6 linked regions of the Oryzias latipes genome follow. The protein of the gene in region 2 purifies or fractionates together with the protein of the main gene of each other region. This does not show direct contact. Links are inferred from orthologs where the notes say so. Each region holds a gene or a part of one and is shown on either strand. Other genes may lie near its edges.

The links.
Region 1: the proteins of stx18 (region 2) and scfd1 purify together in Homo sapiens (affinity purification with mass spectrometry; 5 studies listed by BioGRID and IntAct, counting the BioPlex papers as one, with this or other methods). This does not show direct contact. The link is inferred for Oryzias latipes from reciprocal best matches to the Homo sapiens genes STX18 and SCFD1.
Region 3: the proteins of stx18 (region 2) and scfd2 purify together in Homo sapiens (co-immunoprecipitation; 3 studies listed by BioGRID and IntAct, counting the BioPlex papers as one, with this or other methods). This does not show direct contact. The link is inferred for Oryzias latipes from reciprocal best matches to the Homo sapiens genes STX18 and SCFD2.
Region 4: the proteins of stx18 (region 2) and snap29 purify together in Homo sapiens (affinity purification with mass spectrometry; 3 studies listed by BioGRID and IntAct, counting the BioPlex papers as one, with this or other methods). This does not show direct contact. The link is inferred for Oryzias latipes from reciprocal best matches to the Homo sapiens genes STX18 and SNAP29.
Region 5: the proteins of stx18 (region 2) and rint1 purify together in Homo sapiens (co-immunoprecipitation; 6 studies listed by BioGRID and IntAct, counting the BioPlex papers as one, with this or other methods). This does not show direct contact. The link is inferred for Oryzias latipes from reciprocal best matches to the Homo sapiens genes STX18 and RINT1.
Region 6: the proteins of stx18 (region 2) and nbas purify together in Homo sapiens (co-immunoprecipitation; 5 studies listed by BioGRID and IntAct, counting the BioPlex papers as one, with this or other methods). This does not show direct contact. The link is inferred for Oryzias latipes from reciprocal best matches to the Homo sapiens genes STX18 and NBAS.

Annotation. Positions count from the first base shown.
Region 1 is NC_019880.2:2,574,391-2,579,125, reverse strand, and holds part of scfd1 (sec1 family domain-containing protein 1), read right to left. Parts: intron 3,296-4,735; coding exon 3,216-3,295; intron 2,595-3,215; coding exon 2,535-2,594; intron 2,297-2,534; coding exon 2,221-2,296; intron 1,328-2,220; coding exon 1,274-1,327; intron 1-1,273. UniProt on the Homo sapiens protein: Plays a role in SNARE-pin assembly and Golgi-to-ER retrograde transport via its interaction with COG4. Involved in vesicular transport between the endoplasmic reticulum and the Golgi.
Region 2 is NC_019863.2:30,759,875-30,765,213, forward strand, and holds the start of stx18 (syntaxin-18), read left to right. Parts: upstream 1-2,117; 5' UTR 2,118-2,133; coding exon 2,134-2,325; intron 2,326-5,339. Other genes in the region: uncharacterized protein LOC101155681, read right to left, coding at 371-749, 1,291-1,423, 1,511-1,799. UniProt on the Homo sapiens protein: Syntaxin that may be involved in targeting and fusion of Golgi-derived retrograde transport vesicles with the ER.
Region 3 is NC_019862.2:905,483-910,217, forward strand, and holds part of scfd2 (sec1 family domain-containing protein 2), read left to right. Parts: intron 1-2,993; coding exon 2,994-3,128; intron 3,129-4,735. UniProt on the Homo sapiens protein: May be involved in protein transport.
Region 4 is NC_019867.2:6,082,779-6,087,081, forward strand, and holds the end of snap29 (synaptosomal-associated protein 29), read left to right. Parts: intron 1-1,048; coding exon 1,049-1,134; intron 1,135-1,210; coding exon 1,211-1,315; intron 1,316-2,337; coding exon 2,338-2,495; 3' UTR 2,496-3,105; downstream 3,106-4,303. UniProt on the Homo sapiens protein: SNAREs, soluble N-ethylmaleimide-sensitive factor-attachment protein receptors, are essential proteins for fusion of cellular membranes.
Region 5 is NC_019881.2:11,291,908-11,296,642, forward strand, and holds part of rint1 (RAD50-interacting protein 1), read left to right. Parts: intron 1-1,568; coding exon 1,569-1,684; intron 1,685-1,798; coding exon 1,799-1,972; intron 1,973-2,052; coding exon 2,053-2,190; intron 2,191-4,735. UniProt on the Homo sapiens protein: Involved in regulation of membrane traffic between the Golgi and the endoplasmic reticulum (ER); the function is proposed to depend on its association in the NRZ complex which is believed to play a role in SNARE assembly at the ER.
Region 6 is NC_019882.2:14,748,708-14,753,442, reverse strand, and holds part of nbas (neuroblastoma-amplified sequence), read left to right. Parts: intron 1-801; coding exon 802-935; intron 936-2,671; coding exon 2,672-2,770; intron 2,771-4,735. UniProt on the Homo sapiens protein: Involved in Golgi-to-endoplasmic reticulum (ER) retrograde transport; the function is proposed to depend on its association in the NRZ complex which is believed to play a role in SNARE assembly at the ER. Required for normal embryonic development.

The DNA.
Region 1 (4,735 bases), on a different chromosome or scaffold from region 2:
TGTGCAAACACAAGGGGAACGCCACTTTTGCGAGCTCGCCACGCTAACGCTAATCAAAATCCACAAAATTTAGAAACCAACATTTTTGCCCAAGAAATTTCCCAACGATGCAACTGGTACTAAAGGTCTTTTTTTTTAGAAAAATGTAAGATGGCAGCCTCTTCCGGAGGTCAAAAGTCTTGAAAACTTCAGTTGTGGTTGTCGAAATTTTGTGAAGATCACATGAACTGAAGTTTCATTTTCCCATGTTGTGGGAAAATGTGGCAAATTTCACACTTTGCCACAAAATGGCAAATGGTCTTGTGGCCATCCCATAATACTTTTTAAAAAATCCTTTGGATGTGTCCGACATGCGTGCTTGGGTTTCGTTAGTGGAAATACTTCTTTTGAACCCCATTACAGATTTTGACCCCATTCATTTTTGTAATGGTTTCTCCCACTGTGATGTCATCATTTTTCCCCCTCTTTTTTTTTCTTACTGCTTAAAGGCAGAGTAAGAAAACTTTGTGGGGAAAAAATCTGGTCCTCCTGTCTAAGAATACTGCCGAACATTAATATCATGATAAAGTTATAATAAAAAAATTTTTTTTTAAGATGTTAACAGTTAAACATCAAAGCGCCGCCTTTTTGATCGCATTCACACCCAATTTATAAAAGGCTGGATTTCCATTGGTCACAATATTTGCTGTTTCAATGAAGACATTTGTTCTGTGCTGCAGAACCAGACCTGTTGCCGTGTTTACACCTAACATTTTCCCGCCAAACTGGACTCTTCTCCAACCATGCGGGTGTGAGGCACATCAGAAACCAGGACTCCGGACTCCGGCGGAACCTCCTTTATGCTTTATGAGGAGGCAATCCGACCGGAGGAGAATTCCCCCCCCATCTCCACGACAACAGCCTCTCTGTTTGTGCCGTGTAACCTCAGATGCTGAGAAAGCGCATTCGTTTCCGCCTTCGGAGGTCTGGGCGTGAGGACCCAGCAGCTGGTTGGTTGGCAGGTCAACCCGCCTCTTTTTCTCTAACTAATCTGGTTTAGGTTCTGCCTGAGGGAGCATGTGACCTGCCTAAAGCTCAGAATCATCCTCCGTGGTCATTATTCCCAAAATCCAGCCGTTCTTAAGGAGAACTGGAAGCTTGTGGGAGCACAAATCTTGAAACATTTCCTGAACATTTATGCTGAAATCTCTTCTAAACCCTTCCATGGAGACATCATTTTGACAGGAAACAACAGGTTTGCATTTTCATGCTCAGCAGACAGACGGAGACTCACAGGATGAGACTTCATCTCCATCAGGTTGTCCAGGATCCGAGTGACCGGGAGGTTCTGGAACAGAAATCCACCGTGAGACACGCTTTTTGGATAAAAAAAACCTCCTTTAATGCCATTTGAATTTGCCAGTTTGACTAAACTCCATTGAAGAAATTCAGTTCAGAGCTTCTCTAAATGCTTAGGAAGTTCTGGATCTTCAATGCTCTGAGTTCAGCAGCTTTCGGTCAGTCCAGAATACTTTGACCTTTGACCTTCATGACCTTACACTGGGCCACCAAACTGAATCAAATCTATTCATTATCCTTAGAAATTCTCTATTTTCCCTGGAATTCTGGTGTTTTCGCATAGAAGTTGTTCAGCCTTCATGCAATTTCGGACGATTCCATGTTTTTCGACGCTCGTGTGTGTGTTTTTCCCAAGATGGACGGTCATTTTTCCCATCCTCTAAAATTCTCTAAACATCCAAACTGGTACTAAACTGGTACAAAAGCAACGATTTCGGAATTAAAAACTCCAAAATGTTCTGTTTTACAATCTGTCCATTATTTTTCAATGAAAACTAAAGCATGTCTTCATCCAGATCCCATCTGATTTCTTTCACATGTTCAAAACACTCCATGCATCTGCATTTCTGTCAAATCTAACCCCCCCTTTGTAGCCCAGGAGTCAAAAAGTTCGCCCACCTCGGGGCTAGCATATTTAACCTTTGTGTACATTTACTGCCGTTATGTAAAAATGTAAATTAAAAAACAATCAATAGGCTAGCATTAAAACATTTAGGTGAATTTACTGCTGTGGTTTGATTGGCTCTGCTCTCTTGCAGCCATCAATGAGGACGGACCCACCAATTTAAGTCTATGTGGTTGTTTTTAAATCACTTATAGCTTGTGTTTGCATGATCTGAGCTGACGTTTGGGGTCCAGTAGGTTCTACTGAGTTGGACTCACGTGCTGTTTGAGCACAAGGTTCTTCACGCCCTCCATGACAAACTGGGAGCCGGTGTTCATCACTCTGGAGAAGAGACTGAGGAGGAGAAGTGGAAAAACAGAGATGAGGAGGAGAACAGGGTTACGCTGGTAGTCCAGACCTTTGGGGAGGTTGCAGACTTATTTTTCTGGAGTGTGCGTTCTCCTGCTGTGCGGACAGATGTGCGCTTTCATGGATCGCGTTTCCAAATGCTGCTGAACTTCAGCGACGGCCCGCCCAAAGAAAACATTTCTGTGACAAAAAGCTCAAAGGGCTTCGGAGCTGGTGGACTCACCCCATGGGTTTCACCCCGCTGTTTCCGTAGTTGGCAGGGTTTGCCATTTTGGTGAATGCTCTGAAAAACAAAAAAGACCAGATTGACTCTTCTACAGATACGAGGGTTCGAACATACAGCTGTAAGAAAACACAGGAAGATAAGAAACGAGCACCATTGGTGGATATTTTTCAGTAAAGGCAAGAAAAAAAGGAAAATCCTGGGTCAGAAAACTTTCAAGCAAACCAAATCAAACATGGAGTCTTGACGAGTCTTTAAATGTCTGAGAATTGTTTAAAAATGTGTTTTTAATCACCATATTGAAATATTTGTGGAGACACAACATGGACCCCGATGAGGAACCAGCTTCTACTTAAGGGGGGAAATGCAGATGACATTCCACCTCAGAACATCAAGACGATCTAAGAACTGAGTCTTTGGACAAAAACCAGATGAACGGGGGATGAAATGCTGTCCAACCTGTAAAAATGTCTTCAACTAACCTGACGGGGGCGCCACTGGACTTTCAATGAAATGGAGTGGAACTAAAGCCTGAAGTTTGGTGTGGAAACTCTCAGATCCTTACAGAGGAGCACCACAAACCTCATCTGTGGTGGAAGTTACATTTAACTGCCCCTTCCCCCAAAAGGCCTAGCACCATCAGAACCCTGAACCATCAGAGTGATCAGAGCAGGAACTTACTTCCACTGTTTAATGTAGTTGAGAGGTGAGAGGTCACAGCCCGCATCCAACAAGGCCTTCCTGTACTGCTCCAAGTCCAACTGAACACAGGAATATAAGTGGGTGGAGTTAGATCGACAGTGGGTGGAGTCATATCGACAGTGGGTGGAGTTAGCTCGACAGTGGGTTAGATCATCAGAGGGGGGAGTTAGATTGACAGTAGGTGGAGTTAGATCAACAGTGGGTGGAGTTAGCTCGACAGCGGGTGGAGTTAGCTCAACAATGGGTTAGATCAGTGCTTCTCAAATAGTGGGGCGCGCCCCCGGGGGGGGGCACGAAGCGATGCCAGGGGGGGCGCGCGGTGGTGGCGGTTTTAGGCACAGGTTTGTCCGGTGCGCAAATTTAACGTGGGGGCAGCGGTGACAGCGGCTCAGTGCTTGGAAAATAATCTGGTCCACTATTCGGTTCCTATTGTCTGTTCTGTCTGTCCGCGGCTGCGCGAGTGAGAACGAAAGGGGAGGGGTGGTGTGGGCCCTGTCTGCCAGGGGAATCGGGGCACGCGGACCACTGCTACCGCTGCCTGTTGCCCAAGATCACCGCTGCCCTTAGATTCCTAAGCTCATGCTAACAATGTCATTCTTTATGAACTATTGTAGACATTTTGATGACGTGTCTTTATTTTCCATCCATGTTTTCTTTGTCTGCCTGTGGTTTAGTTGGTTTCAGACAGACAGAAAGACAGCAGGTAATGCAGGAAAACAGCTGCACTTTTATGAGATCAGAAATAAACAATCCGTCATTTAGAAAAAAAAAATCAGCACGTTTTTACCTATTTCTTCAGACTAAAAACGTTAAATATATTGGTGCTGCTGTGTTAATGTTTCAGATCAATTTAGATTTAATATTATTTATTGATTGAATTATTTTTTTCAGCATCAAATGGTTCAGTTGGTCAAAATGTTTCTAGTTTAAATAAGGAATGACAGATTTTTTTTATTTCAGGTACTTTCAGCTTCTTTTCTGTTTTAGACTAGAACAGGGTTTCTGTGGCTAAATAAAGTTAATATTTGTTGAAAGTGGATTTATTTTGCTTTTTTCTTTTGTTAGTGTTAAAAGATACAATTTTAGGTATACAAATTTTATAGATACTGACCTGATGTATTGTCACCGCGCGAGTGTGTCTGTGTGTGTGTGTGTGTGGGGGGGGGGGGGGGTCAGGGGGGGCGCGAAACATTTTCTTTTCCTAGGGGGGGCCTGGCAAAAAATAATTGAGAAGCACTGGGTTAGATCATCAGCGGGTGGAGTTAGATTGACAGTGGGTGGAGTCAGATCGACAGCGGGTGGAATAAGATCGATAGCGGGTGGAGTCAGATCGACAGTGGGTAGAGTTAGCACGATAGTGGGTGGAGTTAGCTAAACGGTGGGTGGAGTACGTTAATGGTGGGTGGGGTTAGCTCAGCCGTGGGCGGAGTTAGCTCAGCGGTGGGTGGAGTTACATCATCAGTGGGTGGAAACAGATCAACAGTGGGTGGGGTTAAATC
Region 2 (5,339 bases):
AAACAATAGCATGCAATTACTAAAACTAATAAAATACATAGGAAACAAAGCAAATCTAAGAAAATAAGATGCTACGGACCCCTGAGTGTTAAAAGTCATTCTAAAAAAAACTAAGTCTTAAATCAAATTAAACTTCATGTCTATAGCACTTTTCCAAGTCATGCTACTCAAAGTGCTTTTCATAAAAACAATCACATTTTAAAGACAAAAAGACAAGACATTAAACAAATATTTTCTCAATATTAAACACATACTTGGCCTATACTCATACAACCCCCCCCCCCCCCTGTTAGTAGATCTGATGTCATGTGCAGCTCAGAAAGAATATTATTTCATAACTGGGGGGCGGCAACAAAAAAGCCCGGTCACTTCAGTCTTCTTGAGAGAATTCTTTGATTTGATTCTTCAACAGCTTTATTTTAAGTGCGTAATACTCCTCCTGCAGCTTGAGAACTTTGTCTTGTCTTCTTAGTACAGACATTTCCAGATTAAACTTCTCCTGCAGAGCAGCAGGTCTGCAAATTGGTGATGAAGAAGAAGAACAAGGGCTTTGGACATTGGAATCGGTACAGACATCCTCATGTCTCGCTGGGGAGGTGGGAATCTTTGTTGAAGCCGTTTTATAGTCTGGAGTGATGGTTTGATCTGGATCTGGATCTGGATCTGGATCCGGATCTGAAAGTTCTACCTCTATCAGCGCCTGCTTGCTCGTGCTCTCCTCTGTTGTTGAATTTCCATCTTCAGCATAGCTGCAGGATGAAGCAGAAGATATTCAATGATCAATTTAGAGTTAATTCCAAAATTAACACATATAAAAAGAAAATTACACTTCAATTCGAAACTCCAATCCTCTTTTGATCTATTTTCATAGCGTTATTATCTATTAATTATGATTTTGCCGTTTTTAGCCTAAATCAGAAAACGTGTGTCGTTGACTAGGACATAGTTTCTGCAGAGCAGCATGAGTTAATTTGAAATTCCCCTTCCCATCACACCTTTGTTTACACACTCTTTTGCTAGCTTACAGCCCCTCACACCCCCAACCTAACAGTCGTACAGTTTTGAGCCAGATTCCGGCTTGGACGTACATGGATATATTTATCTCCAAGTGGATGCATCTCTCATCTTTCTAAGTAGGAGAACTTGCACAATTGGTGGCTGACTGAATACTTTTTTTTTTTGCCCCACTGTATGTCCTCCATCATGAAAAAAATACCACAAGAACATGTAAAAAACTCGCACAAACATGATTTTCATCCTTAAAGAAATAGGGGGGGGAAAAAGTGTTGCCTGTTTTCTGGATTTTCCGCTGGATCTGCGTCACGAAGTTTCTTCTGTTCCTGCATCTTCTTCTCCGAGATGTTCAACACAGAAATAACTATCTGTGTCACGGCACTAAGTTTCTCAAATAACATCTCTTCTTCTGCAACATTAAAAAAACAAAAGTTTGCTATTAGTCAGAAATGCACAATGTTACTAAACTTAAAAAAGAAAATGCATGTTTCCTGACCTTTGTTACTCTGTCGTTTTATCTCCTCCCTTGCCTTCGCAAGGAGGTTTTCCCACTTTTTGTTGCAGTCGGAAACTGTGCGCTGGACCTGTGGAAAAGCATCATTAATAGCTTGGACTATCTCCTTCCAGGCATGCCTCTTGTCTTGAACCGATACTCCGGTGCTTTGCTTTCCTCTGACTATGTTCTGCTTTTTCTGTATTAACTGAGCCAGAAGAAGGCATTCCGGGTCAGTCCAGTTGGGTCTTCTCTTTCTGCTGGTGGAGCCCTTCACTGGCTGTGGAGGCATTTGTCTGCGAGGAAAACACATAAAACAACCATTAATAGAACGTATTAAACAAAATAGAAACTCATGAAAACCCTTAGATTTTTCTCAAAATGATATTCCCCTTAACGCTTCTAAAACCCTATAATTTCAGATTAGTCCTTTTCTGTTATTGTTTTTCCATTATATACAACCTAATTCAAAGTGAAACAGTCAAATGTTGAGTTTTGGTTAAGTTCCGTGTTGATTTAATGGGAAATCAAATCCTAATCGGTGCAAACCTGTTTAAGGCTTTTCCTTTTTCCCCTTTGAGGGAAAAATCCGCTGCGGCGTCTCATGTTGATGACGTCACCGGTCGATGACGTGTCGCCTTGTTGACAGCGGCGCGTGCACAGAAATGGCTGTGGACATCACTCTGCTTTTTAAAGCCAGCGTGAAGACAGTGAAGACCAGAAACAAGGCGATAGGGATCGGGTTCGACTCGACGAAAGATGAGATTTTCAAAAGAAGCAGAACGAAGAGCGGCTTCACCCAGAGAGCGAAAGAAGTGGTGAGTGCTCCTCTTAGCTAGCGATAGCATGATGATGATGATGATGATGCTAGCTCATTTGAAACGATAAAACTTCTCTACAAACATTGCCTTTTATATGACAAATGTACACACCACTACTTTTTCTTTTAAAAACGTATAAGTACAACCATTGTTGGCTGTTTTTAAGTCGTTTAGTACCCCAACTGTTTAATTTTAAAAAAGTTGCTGCTTTTAAATTAATACCTCATAAAAAACATAAACTTGACCTAATTTTTTTTAATCTACAGACTTTGCTGTGCAATTACTGGAAATGTGAGCATTAATGAATGTAGCACTAGTTTTTCCCTAAAAGACTACACGTTTTTTAGATGAACGTAGTTGAAAAAAAAATCTTGAGCGATTGATTGATGTTATTAACAGACTAACTACCCTGTAAAAAATACTATAGCTAAGATACAGATTTCATATAAAATAATATTAATTTGAAATCTTCATCAATTATATACATGTAATTAATTTTAAATACATATCTGTGTACCTGTATGCCTGTTATGATGATTGATAAAAGTGGAAAATCTAATGTTTCAGAGGACGATTAGTCATTTTGTTGCATTCAAATAACAAATAAATGTTTACATTTGTTTCCTTATGGGAGCTTGAAATCATTAACACCTGCAACAATAAAATAATTTCCTGCAATGAACGCACCAACACAGTGTTTGTGTCCGAATTCCCACCCTAACCCCTAACTACTGCAAAACTATATAGTGACCTGAATTTTCAAAGCAATTCGGTCACCATGCTCACTACTGGAAATTCAACTGGTTAAACAATTTTACACTTAATCGCAGTCCTGCAACCAATCTGAGACTCGGATTTAGTAGTGACATGAGGGTGGCGTCCGCCACGGAAGTACCAACCGTTGTAAACATGATTTCGAAGGAGACAATAATATTTGCGGTTTGTGTTCGGACTCCAAGACGGACATTTACAGGAACAAAGCTGTGAAAACAAAACGTCTGGAGCAAGATTTGCGGGATTTTCACAGCTTTCACTTTGCACACTGAGCCTCTTCCTATTACAGGTGGTAGACAACAGTAAATACGCAGAAGAAGAAGAAGAATCTTCTCCCTTTCGCTACCTGCATGTCTGCTGCTTTTCCCATGTGGACAGTTAACAGTCGACATCGTTGAATATCAAGCTTGTCTACTTCAGCTTTAAAAGAGTCATAAAAAAGAGCTAATTTTGACTTTCCCTTACGAAAAAATCTGAGACGGAATTTATTAAAAATTATTTTCTCAATGCATTCATTCATCTTCTAATCTGTTTGATCCCTTTCGGGGTCACGGGGCTGCCAGAGCCTATCCCGGCGTCTTGCGGCCGAAGGCAGAGGACACCCTGGACAGGTCGCCAGTCTGTCACAGGGCCTCAACCACTCACCCATGCACACGCACGTTCACACCTATGGACAATTTGGAGGGACCAATTAAGCATGTTTTTAGATGGCGGGAGGAAGCCAGAGTCCCCGGAGAAAACCCACACATGCACGGGGAGAACATGCAAACTCTACACAGAAAGGTCCCCCATTGGTGTTCTGTTTCTGGTCCCCCAGCCGGGACTTGAACCAGGACTTCTTGCTGTGAGGCAAGAGCGCTATTATTTTCTTAAAGCAAATAAATAAAATATCATAAATTTCAGAAGGCCTGAGCAGCTGCGGCTGCTCTCTCATCTGCCCCCCCGTCAGCCTCCTGGGGGTCGGTGCAGTGGGTGGGGTCACTTCAGCCCCATGGGCCCTGCAACAGACTGGCAACCTGTCCAGGGTGTGCCTCACCTTAGCCCAACAATAACCAGAATGTGCTCTGGCAACCCTGCAGCCCCAAAAGCGATGTAGCGTGATAAGCAAATGGATGGTAGATCAGGACAAGGCCGCTTGGACCGATCCTCCACAGTGGATTTTTACTCCACCCCTTAACACATCAAATGGGTGAAGTGACACCTCAACCTCGCCAAAAGTCAGATTTTTTTTTTTACTCTGGATGCGCCACAACACCCAAATCGTGCTGCGACACTCAAAACGCACTGCTGCCGGTCTGCCTCGCTGCGCCTGACGCTACAATCACGCTGCCGGACCTCAGATCAAGTCTGTACATTGGCTTAACATTGTATGTCGCCCCCATTATAATTGCGTTCGGTGTGATAACCATCTTCAGAGTTATGGGTCTTTGAATCCAAATTCTGGATGTTCTAGACTTGGTGTAGGTCAGTAAAGAACACAGAAGGCGGAGGAAGTTGACAGCATGCTGAACATAAACTTTTCTCCAAATTTCCAGCTATAGATTAATATTCCGATAAAGACTAGTTTTTGGTGAAGAGTTTAGAAGACATCAGTGTGCACCCGTTTTTCACAGGGCAACACGGCCTTTGCTCTGCCCCAGCAGTTATTTATCTGACTTAAGCAGATGTCTTCAAATAAAACCTTGAAGAACCACTTTCACATTTCCCACGGGGGAGTAAAATCTTAAATGTCACCAACCATCAGCCTGAAGACGACATGAGAAGATCTGCACCAGCCACGTTTTGGTCGTGTACTTTTGTAGCGGCATTAAATACGGCGGTTTAATAAAAGCTCTGCTGCTGATTCAATAGAAACTCATACCTACCCTGTGGTGCTTGGCCTCTGGCCCCCCTCACCCCGCTAACCTCCCGCTGTCTCCCTCATGCTGGAGCTATCATCTCAGACCATCTCACTGAACCGTTTTTATAGAAATTGAAGTTGCAAGTCTGGAATGCCTCGACTGTTTAAAGTTAAGTCGCGGTTTTCATCCACCTCTCTCCAAACTTTTCTGTCCGTTCTTCTCTATACGCCCTGACATTGGGCAGCTTTTTTTTTTTTTTGCCAGCGTCGCCTTTTTCCATGTATGATTCCAAAAACACGCTACAATAACATTTTCTTTCGGCTCTCAAACAATTTCTGGGGAAAGCCGATCCTCCCAAGAGCCAGTGATTAAAGGTGGAAGATCAAAACAGAGAAA
Region 3 (4,735 bases), on a different chromosome or scaffold from region 2:
AAAAAAGGGCGGCCCATAAGGGATGTTATGAACATCCATCTTTGTAAAAGTTTGGATGATGTTTGTGGGCGAAACACAGACACACTGCCGAGGCCGACTCTAGGTTGACATCATGAAATGGGCGGCACCCACACGGAGCAAAAGGCTGTGCTTCAGAGTTCAAGTGGTCTTATTTCCAGGTCGGAAAAGACGAGACCTCAGGAAAATGACTAATATTTAATAAAAAATGTGTTCTTTGGTGTGTCAAAGGTAATTTATTATCATATGCATACTGTTTACTATGAGGCTTAAGAAATTTGGTATAGGCCCATTAAACCTTTCAGAGTAAACTATATCCGTATAAATGATAATATATAAAATGGCTACTGAATTGATTTCATTTGGTTGGAGCTGGAAGTAAGCCACTTTCCATGGGTGACATCACACTCACTTGGTCCAGTTCTCATTTACAGTCAATGCTTGAGACCACTAGCTTTTATTGAAGCATGAAGAATGACTAACAGCTGTTAATTTCTCTATAGAGGTCTATGGGATTTTAGCTTCTTGGAGCCAGCAGGTACTTCCTGTTTGGAACGTCATGGGGGGAGGGGTCACTCAGTCCAGTTTTTTCGATACAGTCAATGATATAAACCATTATGGAAGTGTGTTTGTGATGCTTGAATCAACAGTTCAATGCAGTGGTTGTAAAACTGGGGTGGTGCAGAGGCATCTCGGTGGGGGTGTGAGTCACCCGGTGGGACAAGGCTGGGAGGAGGGGGCCATATTTGGACGTCGGAATTCTTTTTGCGGTGAAACATGAAAGACCTCATATCCGTGGGTCTTGCATCACTTGCATTAACCTAATCCTAACCGTGACATTTGAAAACATAATTATTGTTGTTAACGGCGGTTCTAACGTCTTATAAGAACGGTAATGCCGTTGATGCTTGAGTTGATGATTGGATACCTACACCTGCCTTTCTTTCTTCTATACATTGCATGTATAGTGGATGTAATGCCTCCGCGCCTCCCAGGGTGGCGCCCCACAGGTTGACAACATACAAAGTGAATGATCCTTTATGTAATTTATTTATTCCTTGTATAAAGGATCATTCACTTTGTACGTGTCTTCCCTGCGAGGATTTTTCTTATTCCCCAGACAACAGAGCTCATTACGACTGGCTGCAGATCCATATAACGCAGCAGCAGCTGCTGGTTTGAGCTCTGCTGAGGAGGATCAGTTCAATGAAATCACTCAGACTCCACCCTGAAGGCCCGTTCACACCGGGACGAATTTCGCCGGTTTAACGCCTCGTGACTAAACAAAGGGCACCAATGTGAGTGTACACACCGACGCGAAAAAACGCCACGCGTCAAAGCGTCAAAAAAAAAAAACGCCTCGGGTTCGTTTTTTTTTTTCGACGCCTCGCGGCACGCGCTTGCACACACACACGCGGGCGCGCGGCTCCAGCACATACACATTCCTCTTCCACAACAGTGGGTACAGACGATCCCGACTCCATTGCCTTCTTAAAATGAGAAGATTGTAATTGTGCTGCTCCTTTGTGAAAATAAATTTAATATTACAAAAAGAGCTCCGCTTTTGACAACACTGTTGTTGACATCCATTGTTAACGTTGGCTCCGCAAACAACAAGTGACGTCGTTCACCGTTGAGTATTCTTCTGGCTTCTGCGCATGCGGGTCTCGTTTGGGTCGTGTCACGGTCACACTGGAGATCACTAAAGTTCGGATTTACTTGGAAATGTGAACGGTCTAGCAAACAATTCGGATTTTTTCAAAAAATCCGAATTGAGCATTAAGCCCTGCAGTGTGAACGTAGCCTTTGTAAGAGTTTCTGCTGTTGCCACTTTGAAATCAAAGAACAGAGCTATGCTCAGCACAACTTGAGAGTTGCAGTAACAAACCTGCAACCTGGTTTTGAAAAGAGGTATAGCACAAAGCACATTGCAGCCTTTAACACAATTTTGTGTTTCTTTTTTCATATAGGTTCAATATTATTCTTCTTACAGAGTGAACAATCCTTTATTTAATTGTTCTAGTCTCTAGCAGCAGGAATGTTTTGAGACGGTATTAAAGTTGAACATATTTGGCGTATTTTGTCACAGTTTTTTCGCGGTGGGGGGATGAACATTTTTCCCCCTCCAAAGGGGGAAAGGTAGAAAAAATACTGATATCCTAGATAGACATTTAAACACATGCTTAACCTGCATAGTCACACACAGTTCTGATCTTAAATAATTCTTTAAGGTTCTGTGAGAGAAACAGTCTGCTCTCTTTTGAGAAAAAACAGTTGGACCTTAAATTCCTGATCCTGCAACCTTGAGGGCTATAAAGGGTTTATTTTGCAGGAGTTGCTGGTTAGAGAAAGTTTAGTCCTTGTTCAAAATAAACAGTTTTTTCTCTCACATAAATAAAAGACTTTTATTAAGAAGTAGTTTAGGTTATAAAATTGTGCTTCGTCAAGAACGTTTGTCTGACTAAGAGAGAACTGGATTCTACTTTAGCCTTTTTCTTTGTGTCTGCTGTTGTCAAGCACATAAACTGAGTTGTTGTAAATACTCCAATGGTTTATTCCAAAAATACTTGTGTTTGGAATAGAATGGGTATTTTTAGATAACTCTCATCATTTTAGAAATGGGGAGTTTTGGGTTGAATTTAGCTGCAAGGTGTTTATTCAGAAGTGGTTTAATGTCTTTGTTTCCCACTCAAGGTTATCAATGAGCTGTTTTTAGCCGTGTTTAATAGAGCACCGTTCTGCTGTCCCTCTCCTCCTCCTCATGAAGTGACTCAGCGAGCTGTTTGCCTCACACAGAAATGCAAACCTCTGATGTGGGATAAACAAAGACATCCACTGTGTGTGTGTGGGGGGGCTAAAATCAGGGGATGTCCTCATGTTCATAGAAAATACTGCCTTATGTGTAAAAACCCTATGTTGGTGTTTGCATTGCCTATGAATCGTCACATGTTTGTGCTTGACTTTTCCATGTAAAGGCCACCTACCGTCCCTTCTTGAAGCAGATCCTGGAGGAGGTGTTCCGCCTCGACCGGTCTGAGTGTCCTGACATGGAGCATATGTCTGGAGGCCTGACAGAGCTGCTCAAGACGGGCTTCAGCATGTTCATGAAGGTCTCTTCACAAAATACACCCCATTTAAAAGGTTTTTTTTATCTAAGTAGAATTTGCTCTGTGGTTTTCAGAGCTCTGTGATTCTTGAAGAATGCAAGAACATTCTCTCAAAAAATAAGAAAAGATAAGTCAGTCAACTTGAGGAGGCTATTTTTCATCACTAACATGATCAGAAATTTCAAAAATTCTCCATTTTGTTTTTTTAATTCTGGAAAAACAGACATTCTCATGGTTTTTATGTGATCTCTTGCTTCTTTTTTTGTTCTCTTTTCTCTCAGACCTTTTATTGCTTTCAAATGCCCAAGTAGCGGAAAGGGACAATTATGGGTCATTTTCTAAAGTATAATTTCAGAAACAATAACAAATTTGATTCTGATTCTACAAAAAATAACAGAGGTATTTAAAAAAAAGATGTACATATTGACTTTAATCCTAAAAATCTTACCTTTTTCCAGAATTTTGACCTTATTTTCAAATATCTGACATTATTCTCCGGTTCTTACTTTCTTTTTCAAAACTTTTCTTAATTTTTTTCCCCCTTTTTTACGGTTTGACTTTGTTTTGGCAGAACTCCAATTTCTTTCTGAATTCTGACCAATTTAGAGAAAAATTTTTTATAGTTGACAGAAGTCTGGTCCCCAGCGAGAGCCGTCCCCAGAGTTCTAACCACACTACTACTTGGGGCGACAGTGGCTCAGGTGGGTGAGCGGGTCGTCCAATGATCGAAGGGTTGGCGGTTCGATTCCCCGCTCCCACCAGCCAAATGTCATTGTGTCCTTGGGCAAGACACTTCACCCTCCTTGCCTCCAGTGTGGCTCCACTGGTGTGTGAATGTGCATGAATGTCCCGGTGATGGTCAGAGGGGCCGTAGGCGCGAAATGGCAGCCACGCCTCTGTCAGTCTGCCCCAGGGCAGCTGTGGCTACAACCATAGCTTACCATCACCAAGTATGAATGAGGAGTGAATGAATAATGGACACAATGTAAGCGCTTTGGGTGTCTTGAAAAGCGCAGATAAATCTAATCCATTATTATTATTATTATTACAACTCCCAGCAACCCTCAGTGCTCCCATGAAGCCACACACCTGACTCTCTTCATCAACCATAGCTTACTATGCAAAGTATTGTTTGTGCCATTCTGCCTTCATTGGACCTGGTCTTCTGTTTCTGACTCTGTTTGCCTGCCGCCTGCCCCGACTCTTGCCTGTCAGCATGGGGAGCCGAGCCTTCAGCCACTCGGCCCTTGGAGTGTGGAACTCTCTCCCCTTGGACCTCCGTATCATTGACTTGTTACCTATCCTTAAATCCAGACTCAAACCCCACCTCTTTAAATCTGCCCTTCTTCTTTGATTGCCCATCCATCCGTTTTGCTTTTATTTATTGGTTTTATTTTTTCTGTAATGTACAGTGTCCTTGAGTGGCAAGAAAGGCACTTTCGATAAAATGGATTGTTATTATTATCTTTATCTAAATTATGGCTAATTTAGGGGACCAAAGGATTTCATTGAAAACATACTGATATGTTAAATTAAGTGTTTTCAACTAACTGAGTAAATCAGTTTGAGGTCAAATGTTTGCTTAACCCATAAGAACTCATGGTGACATC
Region 4 (4,303 bases), on a different chromosome or scaffold from region 2:
TTACTTATTTAACATTGGTTTCAGCTTCTTATAAACACAACTTTCCTTTTCAGAGAATCCAACATGTCATTTACGTGTTTGGTGATTATTTTTACTCACTTCTAACACCTTTCAGGCTCAATCTTGTCCTACATTTACAGGAATAATATTCAAAACCCCCAAGACAAGAGAGTGATCTCTGTCTCAAATTTTAGTCTGTTTTTAAAAGTCTTAAATCAGTTTTGGGGGGAAAAGATTGACAATTCTGAAAAAAAATGCTTACAAAAAAAGCTTTATATTTCGAATAAAAAAATATTGTTTTGTAAAGTTAACTAATTAAAAATACATTTAATTTTTTTTCAATTTCTTAATTTTTTAAAGAAACTTTTGAATAAAAAAAAAGTTATCTGAAAGGCAGCCCACTTTTTTTAGAATGTTTTATTCACACTGATAGTTTCACATTGAAACAGTTTCACATTGACACCTGGGAGCTGCAAAGTGAAACTACTGTTGCTCCTGGGAGCTCTGAGTAGGAGTTAAGAGCCTTGCTCAAGGGCATTTTATTTTGTACACTGTGTTACCAAGACTACATTTGATTAAACCGAATCTGCTTTTGGAAAACTTACCATATTTGTTCATTACACCAGAATGCACAAAACATTTTCAAAAGCCAGAGTGGACTTGTTTTATTTTTACTCTGTACATCTTGTCTGTTCTTTAAGGAAGGTGCTTTCACTTCTTCCTACACACGTCCTTAAATATCAGCACAGCTACAGACGAATCCATGTAGAGAGCCCAACAGAAACATTATCAAACAAACCGCCTCTCACAACTGTTTACAAAGCAGTCATATACTCTGGATGGATGTAAAATATAACAATAAACAACAATAAAGTCACAAAAACAGTCACCTTGAGCTAGTATGCAAAAATGCAAGCTCTCCATAAATGTGAGCCAATGCTAGGTCAGATAAAATACCTCCTACTATGATATGATACTATTTTCTACTGTCTATATGAACGGTTTTGAATTATATACATGAATACTTTTTCTGTGGGTTATTTTTTAGGTTACAGAGCGCTCTGTCCAACAGCAGAGAATATGAAGACAAGTATCAAGCCAGCCACCCCAACCTGAGGAAACTGGAAACATCAGGTAAGGATGAACATGAAAATGTCAATGTTCAAACGTGTCACAGTACATCCTACATACTTGTGATCTTCGCTTCCAGGTTTTGGAGCTTCTTCCTCAGTAGATGGGGGTTTACCTAGACAGAATGGATACCCTAAGAACCAACACCTCAGAGAGGCTCATCAGACCCTTGACAAAAACTTGGGTAAGAAATCTAACAGGACACTTTGTATTTCGGTTATAGGGTTGAGTAATTTCTTAAAATGACATTTAAACTTCCTTTTAAATAAGAATGCTTGATCAACACGATGTGGTCTGCCTGAAAGGGCCTGGCTGGTCTCATTTGCAAGGGAACCCTGGTGTGGTTCATTACACTATGAATGCAACATAACACACTTTGTAGTCAGAGTTTCTTTCAGACAACACTGCACCCAAACAAGCAGCTGTTGCTGCATGATTTTTTGAGAGGCCTATGCAAAATCTATTTTTTGAGCTTTAAGTATATTATAATGTTCATTCCTTATGAAAAGAAACCCCAAACCGGTATTCTGATCCATTCAAGCATTTCTAAGTATTCCTCTAAAAAACGTTTCTCTGAGCACCAGCCCCTCCTTATCCACAAAAACGAGTGGGTTATCACAAGCTGACGAAGACCAGTGAGAGCTGCACCTTACAGGAGGAGTCTGGAGAAATGCAGACACGCTAGCGAGGCCGACTATAGGTTGATGTCATGAAATTTGCGGCACCCACAAGGAGCGAAAGGTGGTGCCTCAGAGACTGAGTCAATTTACTTCCAACTTGGAAAATTAACTTGCGAAAATAACTCGTATTTAATAAAAAAAAAATTGTTATTTTGTGTGCCAAAGGTAAAATATTATCATATTCGTGGGATATTGTTTACTATTAAAGTCTTAAAAATAGCATGGTATATGCCATTTACACAAGTGTTATATGTGCACATTCAAACAGTCCACCTTAAGAGATGTTCGTATTAGCAAATGACTGCAAACCTTACTAAACAGGGTAAACGCTGCAAAGAATAAAAAGGCTAAATTTACCCCAAAATTGATATATTTGTCATATAGTCTTAAAGTAAATGTAATGAGGTAATGGGGGTTAAAAGTGATTTTACACAGTGATGAATTGTGGGATATGTTCAGTTTTTTTGTTGAAAAAAATGTGGTTGAAATGTGACTTCTTTAACCACATCTGCTGTGATTGATTTAGATGAAATGTGTGGAGGCTTGCAAAGACTGAAGAACCTCGGACTTGGACTCCAGTCGGAAATTGACAGCCAGGACGACTCTATTGGTTCACTTCTAAGCAAAGTGGACATGATGGATGGGAAGATCAGTAACACAAACCAACAGCTTAAAAAGCTGTAGGACCCACACTCTGACATTTCCACGTCTGACCCTTCATTTCAGTTCAATTTACTGTCTTTTTTTTTTTGTCTTTGGAAAATCTTCTTTCACTCCTTTTTTTAATTTTTACAATAGATTTTCTTCATCACCAAGTTTTTGTCATTCAAAATAAAATGTGAAATATTTTACAGATAAAAAGGAAACCATCTGTTGAAAAAAAAGACTTGTTGTTATTTAATTTTTTAAAGATGTTCCTGATGTAAGGACAGATCCGGATCTGACCCCAGTTGATGTATAAAAAGAAAAACAAGCAGTAAACAAGCTCAAGTCACGTTTGCCTTACACGTACTTTCTTTGGTTTTGATTCACAGTTACATTTCATTTGATAAATTGTTCTATAAAACACCTCTTAAATATCAAATAAATATCTCAAATATTTTAGTTTTGATTGTAAACATAAGAGATGAAGGAAAACTTGCACCATTGGAATACAATGATTATTTCTCTGATTTTTCTTTTCTTTTTTTCTTCAGACAAATAAATCACAGTACTAAATTGGCCAAAATTCCTACATAAGTTCATGTTTGTGTGTAATCAAGCACAGATATCCAATAAAAGCTTAATCAAGGAACTTCCATGTGTTCTGCGAATACTTTTTTGACTAAAGTTAAAAAAAACTTTTGTGTTGATGGATTAGTGAGGTCAAATTACCACTAGGTGGCACTGTGGTTCAGGATTAAAAACTAAATGACCATCGTAAAAATCCTGGTTTGGTATTATTTATATTAAATGGCAAATTTCCCCAATAATTATAGTATAAAACGCAAAATTAGAAGAAAATTATTAGAAGGAAACAAATGTGTTTTAACTATTAATACCGGTAATTGTAATATCAAGGGGCATATTTCAAACCAACATCTGTGCTGCTTTTTGTTTTTAGTCAAATGAGCATCCGATGATGTGTGAGCGTTTAGTGTGATGAGCGCCTTCTGCTCATGTCCTCACGCAGAGATGATGTCCATTCATTATCATTCCTCTGCGTCAAACCAGCTGCTCATGCAGCCGCAACAAGCAGTCTTTAGCATGACTTGGTAATTACAGTTCAGGCTTCTTTGAAGGACATTTGAGTTGGGGGCGCGACAGAAAGGAAGATGGGGGTACCCGCTACCAGGGGCCCCTTGAGGCCCCCCGGGCATGTCTACACGAGTACGCTTTTTGTTATGCCTAATGGTTTTTCTGTTACACGTGTGATGGATAAGCATAGTAACTTGCTATTTAAAGAGTTTCTAAGCACAGTAAATTATACTTTTTATGAATTGAAACCCTTTTAAAGACAAAATTAGTTCAAAAAATTATTTTCTTTTTTGGTGGACCATTTGTTTGTTACTCTTTTGCCTGAATTCTGTGCTTTATGAAAGATCCTATTTGGACACGTGGTAATTTCTTATTTATTGCGGATTATAATGTCTTTTTGTGATTATTTCTTTATATTTACGTGCTCTTTCTCATATTTTGCACTTCTTTGGTTAAAATGATTGTTTTTCCTATCATGTTTTGGTCACTTTGCTACTTTAAAATGTTTTTTTTGTGATGTTTTGTCTCAACATTCTGCATTTTTTTCCTCTGCTTATTTGTGTTCTCCTCCGACCATTGAATGTGACCTGTAAATCAACGAATGCCCGATATTCTGAAATCTTACCTCCGAAGGTAGGATGTAAATGGGGTCAATATAATGATTGGTCAGGGTAGTTTTTATTCAAACTGGTGAAGAAGAGACCTTGAGGTTAAGGTTCCACAGATAAACGGCAGTCACCTCTGGATTCTTTCAC
Region 5 (4,735 bases), on a different chromosome or scaffold from region 2:
TACAAATCTTAAGTTTCTCTGCTGAGAGTAATAAAAGCTTTTCCAAGTGTTATTCCATTTAATAATGTTCGTGCATTTTAAATGGGGTCAAATGGGGGCCGGTTTAGCTCGTGCTGGGTTGCGGCACCTTCCGTCCGTGAAACCAGGGTTCAAATCCAGGCCGCTCCCTATTCCCCTCTCTGCTGCTGTGCCGGTCCCAAGCCCAGTTGGATTGAGAGGGGTTGCGTCAGGAAGGGCATCCGGCATAAAAACATTGCCAAGTTAACCATGTGACCTTCCTCAAGGGAGGGTTGTTTCACTGTGGCAACCCCTGATGGGAGAAGCCAAAGTAAAAGAAGATTTTAAATGGGGTCAAATGAGGATCAACTTAAAGTCCCACTCTGATTATTGTTTGATCTATTTTCAAATCGTTCTTTTCCAACTGTCTTTTAATGACGATTTATCTTTTTTTTTATAGCCAAAATCTAAAAAACTCATTTTCTAGGACATAGTTTCTGCAGAGCGGCAGGATTTAATTCGAAATTCACCTCTGAGTTGTGGGCGGGACTGTAAGCGCAGAGGTAAGCCTCTGCTTATATCCCATCATCCCTTTATTTAGACGCACTCCCGCTAGCTTACAGCTACCACAACTTTAAGCTAACATTAGCGATGCAACAAAAACGGTGAGCTATATCGTAGCAATCCAGTCGTGAAGTTTGGATCCACATTCCAGCTCAGACGAGAAAAACAAAGACGTTCATGGATCTATTTGTCTGCAGGTGGATGCATCAGAATGGAGCAGAACAGGGAGACTGTGGCCCCGCCCATTTCTCTATCTACGCCAGAACTTAGAGCTTTTTCAAAACAAAATTTTTTCATATGCTTCTGATTGTCACAATTTGAATAAAAAAATACAGTTTTAATCTTAAATTTTTTTTTTATATATGTCCTCCATCATGAGAAAGAACATGTTAAAAACGTCAAAAACACCATTTTCAACGGAGTGGGTCTTTAAAGTGAATTAAAAACCAGATTAGAATTTGAAAAACAAAATTAAGTTTAATAAACAGTTCCAAATGTAAAAGTAGATGTTGTATACTTGAAATAGATATTGAAAAGTTGAAAAAAAAGTGCATTTGAAGAAATACTGAAAACCAGATGAAAGACTAGGGTCTGAAGTGGCGTACTGTAGTGATGATGCTCCCCCAAAATGTGGTTCATCAGAGGAAGGACGGCACAGGCGGCGCCAACAACAGACGCTGTTGCGTCACCATAACCTCTACCACCAGATGTCAATCATAGCCAATGGGCTCAAAGCCCCACATCCACATAAAATTAGGCTCAACTCCAAAAATTCTAACTTGAGGACGGAACGTGAAGAGGAAGAGAAACGAAAATACAAAACAGCAGCTGTTAAAATAAAAATCATTTTCTTTTGGCAAAAGTTTAAGGATTCTAAGTTTCCAGTATTTACCAGAGATTTACTTGGAAAGAGCAAGAAGGATCCAGTAAACTCCCTTAGTGCTAAATGTATTGCTTTCCTAAAGTAGAAATGCGGTATTTTTTGTAACTGCATGTCGCCTTTGCAGCATCTGCAGGAGGCGTCGCAGTGGATGGAAGATCTCAGCCGGGTCTTCAGCCAGGTTGATCTGATAGAAAGACCCATGAAGTACCTGCAGTGCCTGCAGCACATAGAGGAACTCAGGTATTGTAAACATGGAGGCTTGTGGCCCCTGACCCCCCCATAGAGGTCTCTGTGAAGGGGGGGGGGGGGGGGGGGCTGTGATGGCTCAGCAGTGAGTGTGTCTGTGTGTCGCAGTGCTGCAGTCCAGCAGCGCCTGATGGTCAACAGCGTCTGTGAAGCCATAAAGGTAGTGGACCAATTGGCGGCGCTGGACTCTGGACTCAACCACTCCAGCTGTTCTCACCTGCAGAAGTTCCTTCGAGAAACTCTTTGTTTCTGGCACAACATCATCAAGGAGCGCCTGAGCAGGTCGGCCCAGTCCACCTTCACGTCCAAAGGCTCACTTCTGGGATGTTAAAGACTGAACACCTCTTTGCTTGTCTTCTTAGTGAGTTTGGGAAGGTTCTGACTCAGCTTCACTGGCCGATCATCTCGCCGAACCAACCGTTGAGTCCTGCTGCCAACTGTCCGGACAGCAGCAGCCAGCTGGAGGCGCTGGTGGCTCAGCTCCTCGCCCTACAGGCCTCGTATCCTTCCACAAAAAAACATGTCTGGCTGCTCCCTCTAGGGGGCGCCACAAGAAATCCTCCAACTCTCTTCTCTTCATCCTTCTCACTCACTCCATCCATCCTGATGTCTTCCTTCTCCGTGAAACTCCTCTTTGGTCTTTTTCTAGACCGGGGGTGCCCAAATCCAGGCCTCGAGGGTCAGTGGCCTACATGTTTTCCAAACAACCTGCCATTGAAGCTCCTTATTGGCTAAACACACCTGATCCAGGTAATCAGCAGCCGATATGGCAGGGTTTCTGGAAAACCAGCAGGACACTTAAGTTATGGAATAAAATTCATCTCAGAGTCAAAACTGGCGCCCAGATTTTTCACATGCTGAGGCGTTTTGTCAATTTTTAGTTTTGATAAAACAATCTCTCTCTCTTGCCTACAGAACCAATCACTAAAACATCTGTTTTGTCCTGGTTAAGCTGTAGTTCTCTGCCATCCATGACTTAATGTCTGAAATGCATTTTAAGAGTATGTTGATTGACTCTTCGTCATCAGGAGACAAAGCGATGCAGAGTTTATAAATGCCACGCCTCCTGATGATGTCCCCAAGTGGCAGCATATCTAGATTAAAAAGCAGTGGGTCTCAAATTGATCCTTGGAGGACCCCACAATTGATTTCAAAAACCTTTGAGGAGCATGTATCCATACTTACATAAAAATTTCAATCTGTGAGACAGGAATAAAACTACTTCAGAATGGTTCCAGCTATGTCTAAACACCTCAGCCTGTCAAGTAAAATACTGTGATCTACTGTGTCAAATGCAGCCCTCAGATCCAGTAGTACCAGGACTGAGAGTTTCTGGCAGTCAAGGTTTGATCTAATATCATTTACTATCCTAACAAGGGCCGTGTATGTGCTGTGGTTTCTCCTAAAACCAGATTGATACTTTTGAAAGATGTTATTTCTGTTTAAAAACTCATTGAATTCGATTAAAACTGTCATTTTATTTAAAACTCCACTTTACCAATTTACTTAAAATGATAAGTTGGATACTGGTCGTAAATTTTTATAGTTGTTTGGATCCAAATGACTCTTCTTCAGAAGAGGCCTCACCACTGCCGTTTTAATGCAACAGGGAAGACACCTGTCTGAAGTGAGTCATTTACTATATTTAAAAGCTCAAACTCAAAGAATTCATAAAATGTTTTTAACAGTGATGTGGGGATTAGGTCTAAAAGGCAGGTGGTTGGCTTTAACTGGGAGAAAACATGACCAAATACCACAGCATCAACCTGGACAAAACTTTCCTGTGTTTCCTCTGATGAATACAATGCTATAGATTCATTAAAAACAACACCTTTTTGAGTTAAAAGACTAGGTCTAATAGCATTGATTTTACTCCTGAAGTGGTCTGCAAAACTCTCACAAATAGCATCTGATGTTGGTATGGAGGACCTCTGAGAATCTCTATTAGCTATAGTATCTATTGTTTTAAAGGGAACTTTAGGGTCATTTTTGTTTTGTATAATTAAGTTTGAGTAGTGGAGGGTTCTAGCTTTTTTTATTGCATGACTGTACATTTTTTGCTGTTTTTTAAAAATGTAATGATGAACAGTTGATGTACAGGGGGTCTAAGAGCAGGGATGCCCAGTTTAGTTTAGTCTTTTTAGTTTAGTTTAGCCATTACCCATTGAATTCTATGACTTTATTTTGTTACCGGTATTGAGACGACTATTGTTGTAAATACTGGGCTATATTAATAAAATTGAATTGAGTTGAATACAGTTCATTTAGTTTTACTCCACTGCCTCTCCGCTCCCCTGCATTCACGTTTCATGGCTCTGATGGCTCCGTTTCTCCAGGGTGCTGTAGCTTTAGTTTTCACCGTCTTTGACTCAGGTGGAATTACAGCATCAATGTCTGACTGTAGTTTGTTGTTAAAATGTTCAATCATACAATGCAGGTAAAATCTGAGCGGGAGTTTGGTGTAAAATATTGATCAAATTTGCAGCCACATCAGGAGTTATGTATCGTTTCCTCACAGTTCTCTCTGGAGCTTCATGTCGAGTAAAACTAGTGATATTAAAGAATACGCAATAGTGATCTGAAACAGGCATGTCAACAACAGAGGACACACTACAGACCATAGGTAATTAGTGTGCCCCCTGTTTTTATCTCCCCTGGTAGAAAATAAAAAGTAAATTTTAGTGGGGAAGCCTCAGTGAGAACAACAGGAGCATCAGTACCAAGCCAGGTTTCAGTAAAAAAAAGGCAATCTAAGTTGTTATCTAAGATGAGCTCATTCACAATAAAAGATTTATTTAAAAGAGAGCAAATGTTTTAAACAGCAAAGGTGAAAATTATGTGTGACTGCAGATGGACTTTTTCATCTTTTTTATCCGGTAAGGTGTGAATGTGACAGAGATATCTGACTGTGAAGCTGGTGGTTCTGAGCCGGGGGTGTTTCTGCTTATATGAACTGGGATGTGTTGTGTGATAGATGTGGCTCCAGCTTAAGATGGATTCTGGCGGTGGTCCAGTCCATGGTTTACATCACCATGGAAACACGAA
Region 6 (4,735 bases), on a different chromosome or scaffold from region 2:
AAAGCATCAGTCTTATAATTCTTGTGTTTAACATCTGAGGCAGCTCTGATCTTTTCTGTGAAAAGATGTGTTTGTTCAGCACCTTGGAGTAACCACAACCTTATAAAGATGTCTCCCTTCCAGACGTCCGGCCCCCTCTTTGTCTGTCTCACCTGCTTTTTAGGCCCCTCGTCTTCTTTTCCCTTCTCCGCTCTGTGTCTTGTTCTTCTAAGCGCCGTCTTCCTCACCTCACATCGTAAATTTTTCACGAGTGTTCTCCCCAAGTCTTCCCTTTATGCCTCGTCTCACACACTCTACTCTTTCTTCCAAGCTCCAAGTCCACATTTTAACGCCATGTAAGCTCCACATATCATTATTCTACCATTTTCTGTCCATTATCCTCTTGCGCCCCTCTGTCAGACGCTCGTCCTTCTCCCCAGACACCCTTACCTTTTGAAAGCCTCTGATCGTTGTTCCTTCAGCGCACTTCCTCTTTGTTGTGTGTGTGTGTCTGCGCAGAGTGTGTTCGCACACCTACATCAGTGCCCCTCAGCAATACTTTACCCTTCCTCCTGTTTGTTACTGCCTTACTGCGATTTCAGGGGGATGAGATAAAAAAAAAAAGATGAGTCAGTTTTGCAGTAGAGGTGCATAAATGTAGGTTTTCCAATGTTCAACCTTCATCTTTCTTGTTTTCTATCCCTATTTGACTTTTCTGATTTATTATTCTTCACACATTGCCCCCTTCTTTTTTTAATCTTGTTACGAGAACTGTGAACTTAAACTGCAATGAACTCCTCTTCTGTCCTTTTTCTCATCCAGGTGGTGAGTTTTCCCGGAGATTTCAGTTGTGCAGTCGCAGGCCTGATCTTCCTGGAGTACACAGCCAGCGCTCAGTGGTCAGCTGAACTTCTTGTGATCACATACAGTGGAGGGCTTAAAAGCTACTTAGTCAGGTGAGAAACAAAAGCGTGTTAAAACTCGTTTAAATAACTTATCTAGCTGTGATGTAACTGCACAATGAAAGCAAATTTCCCCCCCTTTTTCCCTCAAAATGTCTCCTTTCTTTGATTTGGCTTAATGCAGGGGTCTGCAACATTTCAACACGCCATTCAGATCAATTTCTTAGTGACCACAAACCCTTTAAGAGCCACAAAGTCTTACGTCAGCCTTTAGAAAAATAAGACACTGCTTTGGATTTGAGTTATTGTTACTCTGATGATAAATACAAATTAACCAATGAAACGTAAACATGAAGAAAGATGGGCTTTTAAAAAATATATATAAAGCAGTTTATAACTTTTGACAGAGGCTTGCAGGACTTCCTTTCAAAATAAAAGACACACAGGATCATCTCAATGCTGCAAGTATAGTAGTGGGTAATGTAAAGTCAGCAGTGATAAAAAAACAACAAACTGTGTTTATTTTATAGTTTGTGGCACATCTCTGCCAGAATTTTGTAAATTGGAGCTAATTAAGCGAGTAAACTGCAATTAATGGATTTTGTGAAGGTCAAATTGGTTCAATTTATCCCTTTTTTTCAAGCCAGCCTTTGCATTAACTGTATAGATATTTTGTGTTGTCTCATTTTTCCTCTGCGATGACCTGATGACATGTTGAGGATGGACCCAGTTATTCGCCCGATGACGGCTCAAAGAGGCTCCAGTTTCTGTCACTTGAGAATCTGCACTACATGCCAAACTTGTCAATGTCAACCTGCCTGCGCTATGATTTCATTTTAAAACATTGAGCCTTTTCACTCATTATTTATATAGATTTTAGCTTTTCAACTGCAGCGAAGGCTTTAAAGAACTTTTAAATTCCCAATTGCGTTGCCTGTCAGTGTCCGTATCTTTGAGAAGTTTAAAATGAGTTTCTGCTTCATTTACAATTTAAATCGTTCAGCCTTTTAAGTAGGTAACATTTCAGCTGTATGCATGCCTACCTGTTTTTCAGAAAATGTGTTACAAGTAATTACCTCTGATATTATGCCATGGACAGGTACTCAAAGGCAATTTTTGCTCCTGACTTTTCCCATTTCTCCCCCGTCCATCGCTGAGCCACCGCCTGCTTACACAAGAGCACAGTAGAGTTTACTCAAGTCGGCGATGGCAGTGCTGATTAATGCTATGTGCTTGGAAATTTGCAATTATGACTCCCACACGTGGTCACAGGTTTTAGGCTTTACTGGGCAAATACTGAAATGTTACAAATGAGCCAAAACCTAATAAAAAGTGTAAAAAGCTTGTTTATAGAAAAAGAAAAGTTTTTTATTTTCTTACTGCCTTTTGTCATTTTGAGTATGTTTCTGAGCTGATTGCAAAGACTCAAACCCACCCTGAAGATTTGGATTTTCAAAATAATTTTAAATTAGATCACTTTTTATTTAATATTTCATGATATAAGACGAGAGCTTGGAGGTTATATGTTTTTTTTTCAAGGCGGATTTGCTGAAATAACGTTGTCATCCAAAGCCTCCCAAAGCTGACTAAAATCGGAAAATGCCCTGTACTCCAGAACCTCCCTTTAGCTGTAAATTCATGTCAGAAAAAGGGAATGAAAAGCTGATTTACTCTCTTAATTTCCACAGAAAGTGCATTTGATACCTCTGTAGCCATTTAAATGTCAGAGTTTGTGTGTAAAAGAGAAACTAGAATAAAGATAGATTTTTGTTGTTGATCTCTTTCTTTAGTGTGGGAACCAATCAGAACTTCCAAGAGAACCACACCTTCAACTTTTCCACCCACTATCCACATGGCATCACGGCAGCTGTTTACCATCCTGCACACAGGTATGACGGACAGCACAGATAGCTTGGTCTATATTTGCCAATCTAGTGAGCTTTGATTCACGCTGGGTTTTCGCAGAGACTTCTGGGAAATTTTTAGGGCACTCGATTTTGGATGTTTGGATTCATAGTGCATTATGTAGTGAGAAGTTGAGGACTTTGGACATAGCTTTGATGAGAATTTAAAGGGACGCCATCAGGAAGTTTTTCAGAGCTGTCATGTTCTAAAACTGCAACCTCCCTGGAGTGTCCATTAGTACAAAAGATCTAAAGCTCCACTCTGATTGAGGTGGCAGTAAGGGTCAGATGAGGTACTGTTATGGGCTGGAGTTTTATTTATTTTATTTTTTTTTAAGAGCAGCTATTTTTTCAGATTAAAGATGGATTTAAACCCAACTCCCAAGACTATTCCCACATTTTAGAAGTCTTTCTTCAAACAGCAGCGCAGAACAAAGTCCTCCTTCTTCAGGAAGACCACGATTTTCTATACAGGACAAAGCTCCATCTGTGCATCAAAGAACTCCACTGGGCAGCTTGCAAATAAAAGCCTCAAAGATGATAAAAAAACAAAAAAACGATCTTAATCTCAAACTGTGGGACCTTCTTTGAACTGACTGGCTGAACCTCATATACATTTATTCATGAAGTTAGTATTTTCACCTGAACAGATAAGTTAAGAGATTTTTTTTAACTAAGTTGCATAAAAAAGTAATAAAATAAGAAATCACTTTTAATATTTGTATATTTTTATTTATATTTAGTTATTTAATCAATTACTTAATTTATAGCTATTTTATTTTTTAAATGTCACTTTCAACATTTTTTTTATTTTATTTTTTATTTAATTAAACTTCCTTTTTTGTCTGTGTATTAATTTATTTCTGCTTTTATTTACGGTTTTTTTTAATTCACATTTTATTTATATATACAGTATTTTTAACTTCACGTTTGTTTTAATTATGTTATCACTTTTTAAAGCATTTTTATTGTTTGAATTTAATTTACTTGCATAAAAACTTTATTTATTTATGTATTACAAAAAGACCACTCCTGCTACTTTCAATATTCCGATTAGAGGATTATTAGTGTGGGTTGATTAGGGGCCCTCTTTTAGGGCCCTCTGGCCTTTTCTTGACTGTCTCTGTCTGCAGCTGTTGTCCCACAGACTCAACAGTGTTTCTGTTAGACTTGATCGTTCTTCAAATATTTCTATCTGGACATCTGCAGAAAGCTTTACAAGTCTTGAAATCAGTTTTCACCCTGAACCAGTCCGGAGACGACGGCGTGTTAGGAATTGTGCTCAACATTTAAATAATTATTTCACAAATTTCCTTCTCTTTCATCATTTTGACAACTGAGAGCGCTGTCGATTTGCTCTGTTTTATGTCGATTTCAGCGTTGGCGCTAAATGTAAGTTAACCTCATGAGAACTTCTAGTGGTTTTAATGCAGCCTAAAGCATAAACTGTTAAAGGATCAGGTGTTACCGACCAGAAAAAACTGCTGTTTTTGAGGAGAGTGAGAGGGAAATTGGGATTGAGCTACATTTATCATGTTGGAACTGAGATAAAGAACATGTGAGGTTTCTCACACAGACTCCTGCAGAAGGCTTTTTGCACTGTCCAATGAGGCCAAGAAGCTTACTCAGGAATAAATGAAGCAATCTCTTTAATGTAATACCTGTAGGAATTGACTGCAGCAGCGCCGAATGCCCTTGGCCTGTTTCACCACATTGTATTCATTGGGTTTGCTTCATTATTTCTGGCTCGCAGTTATGGCCGTGCTGTTTTCACCAGAGTCCCCACTCTGCACAAACCGGGTTTGCTTTGGCCGGTAAAACCTGGCTCGGCAGCCTAATGAGGTTTGGCAGCTACTGTCAATGTTTGCCAAATGATAGATGAGATGAAACATTAATGACTCCTGTGTGAAAACTGGGTCAACATCAAAGAGAACGGAGGGATGTGGAGAA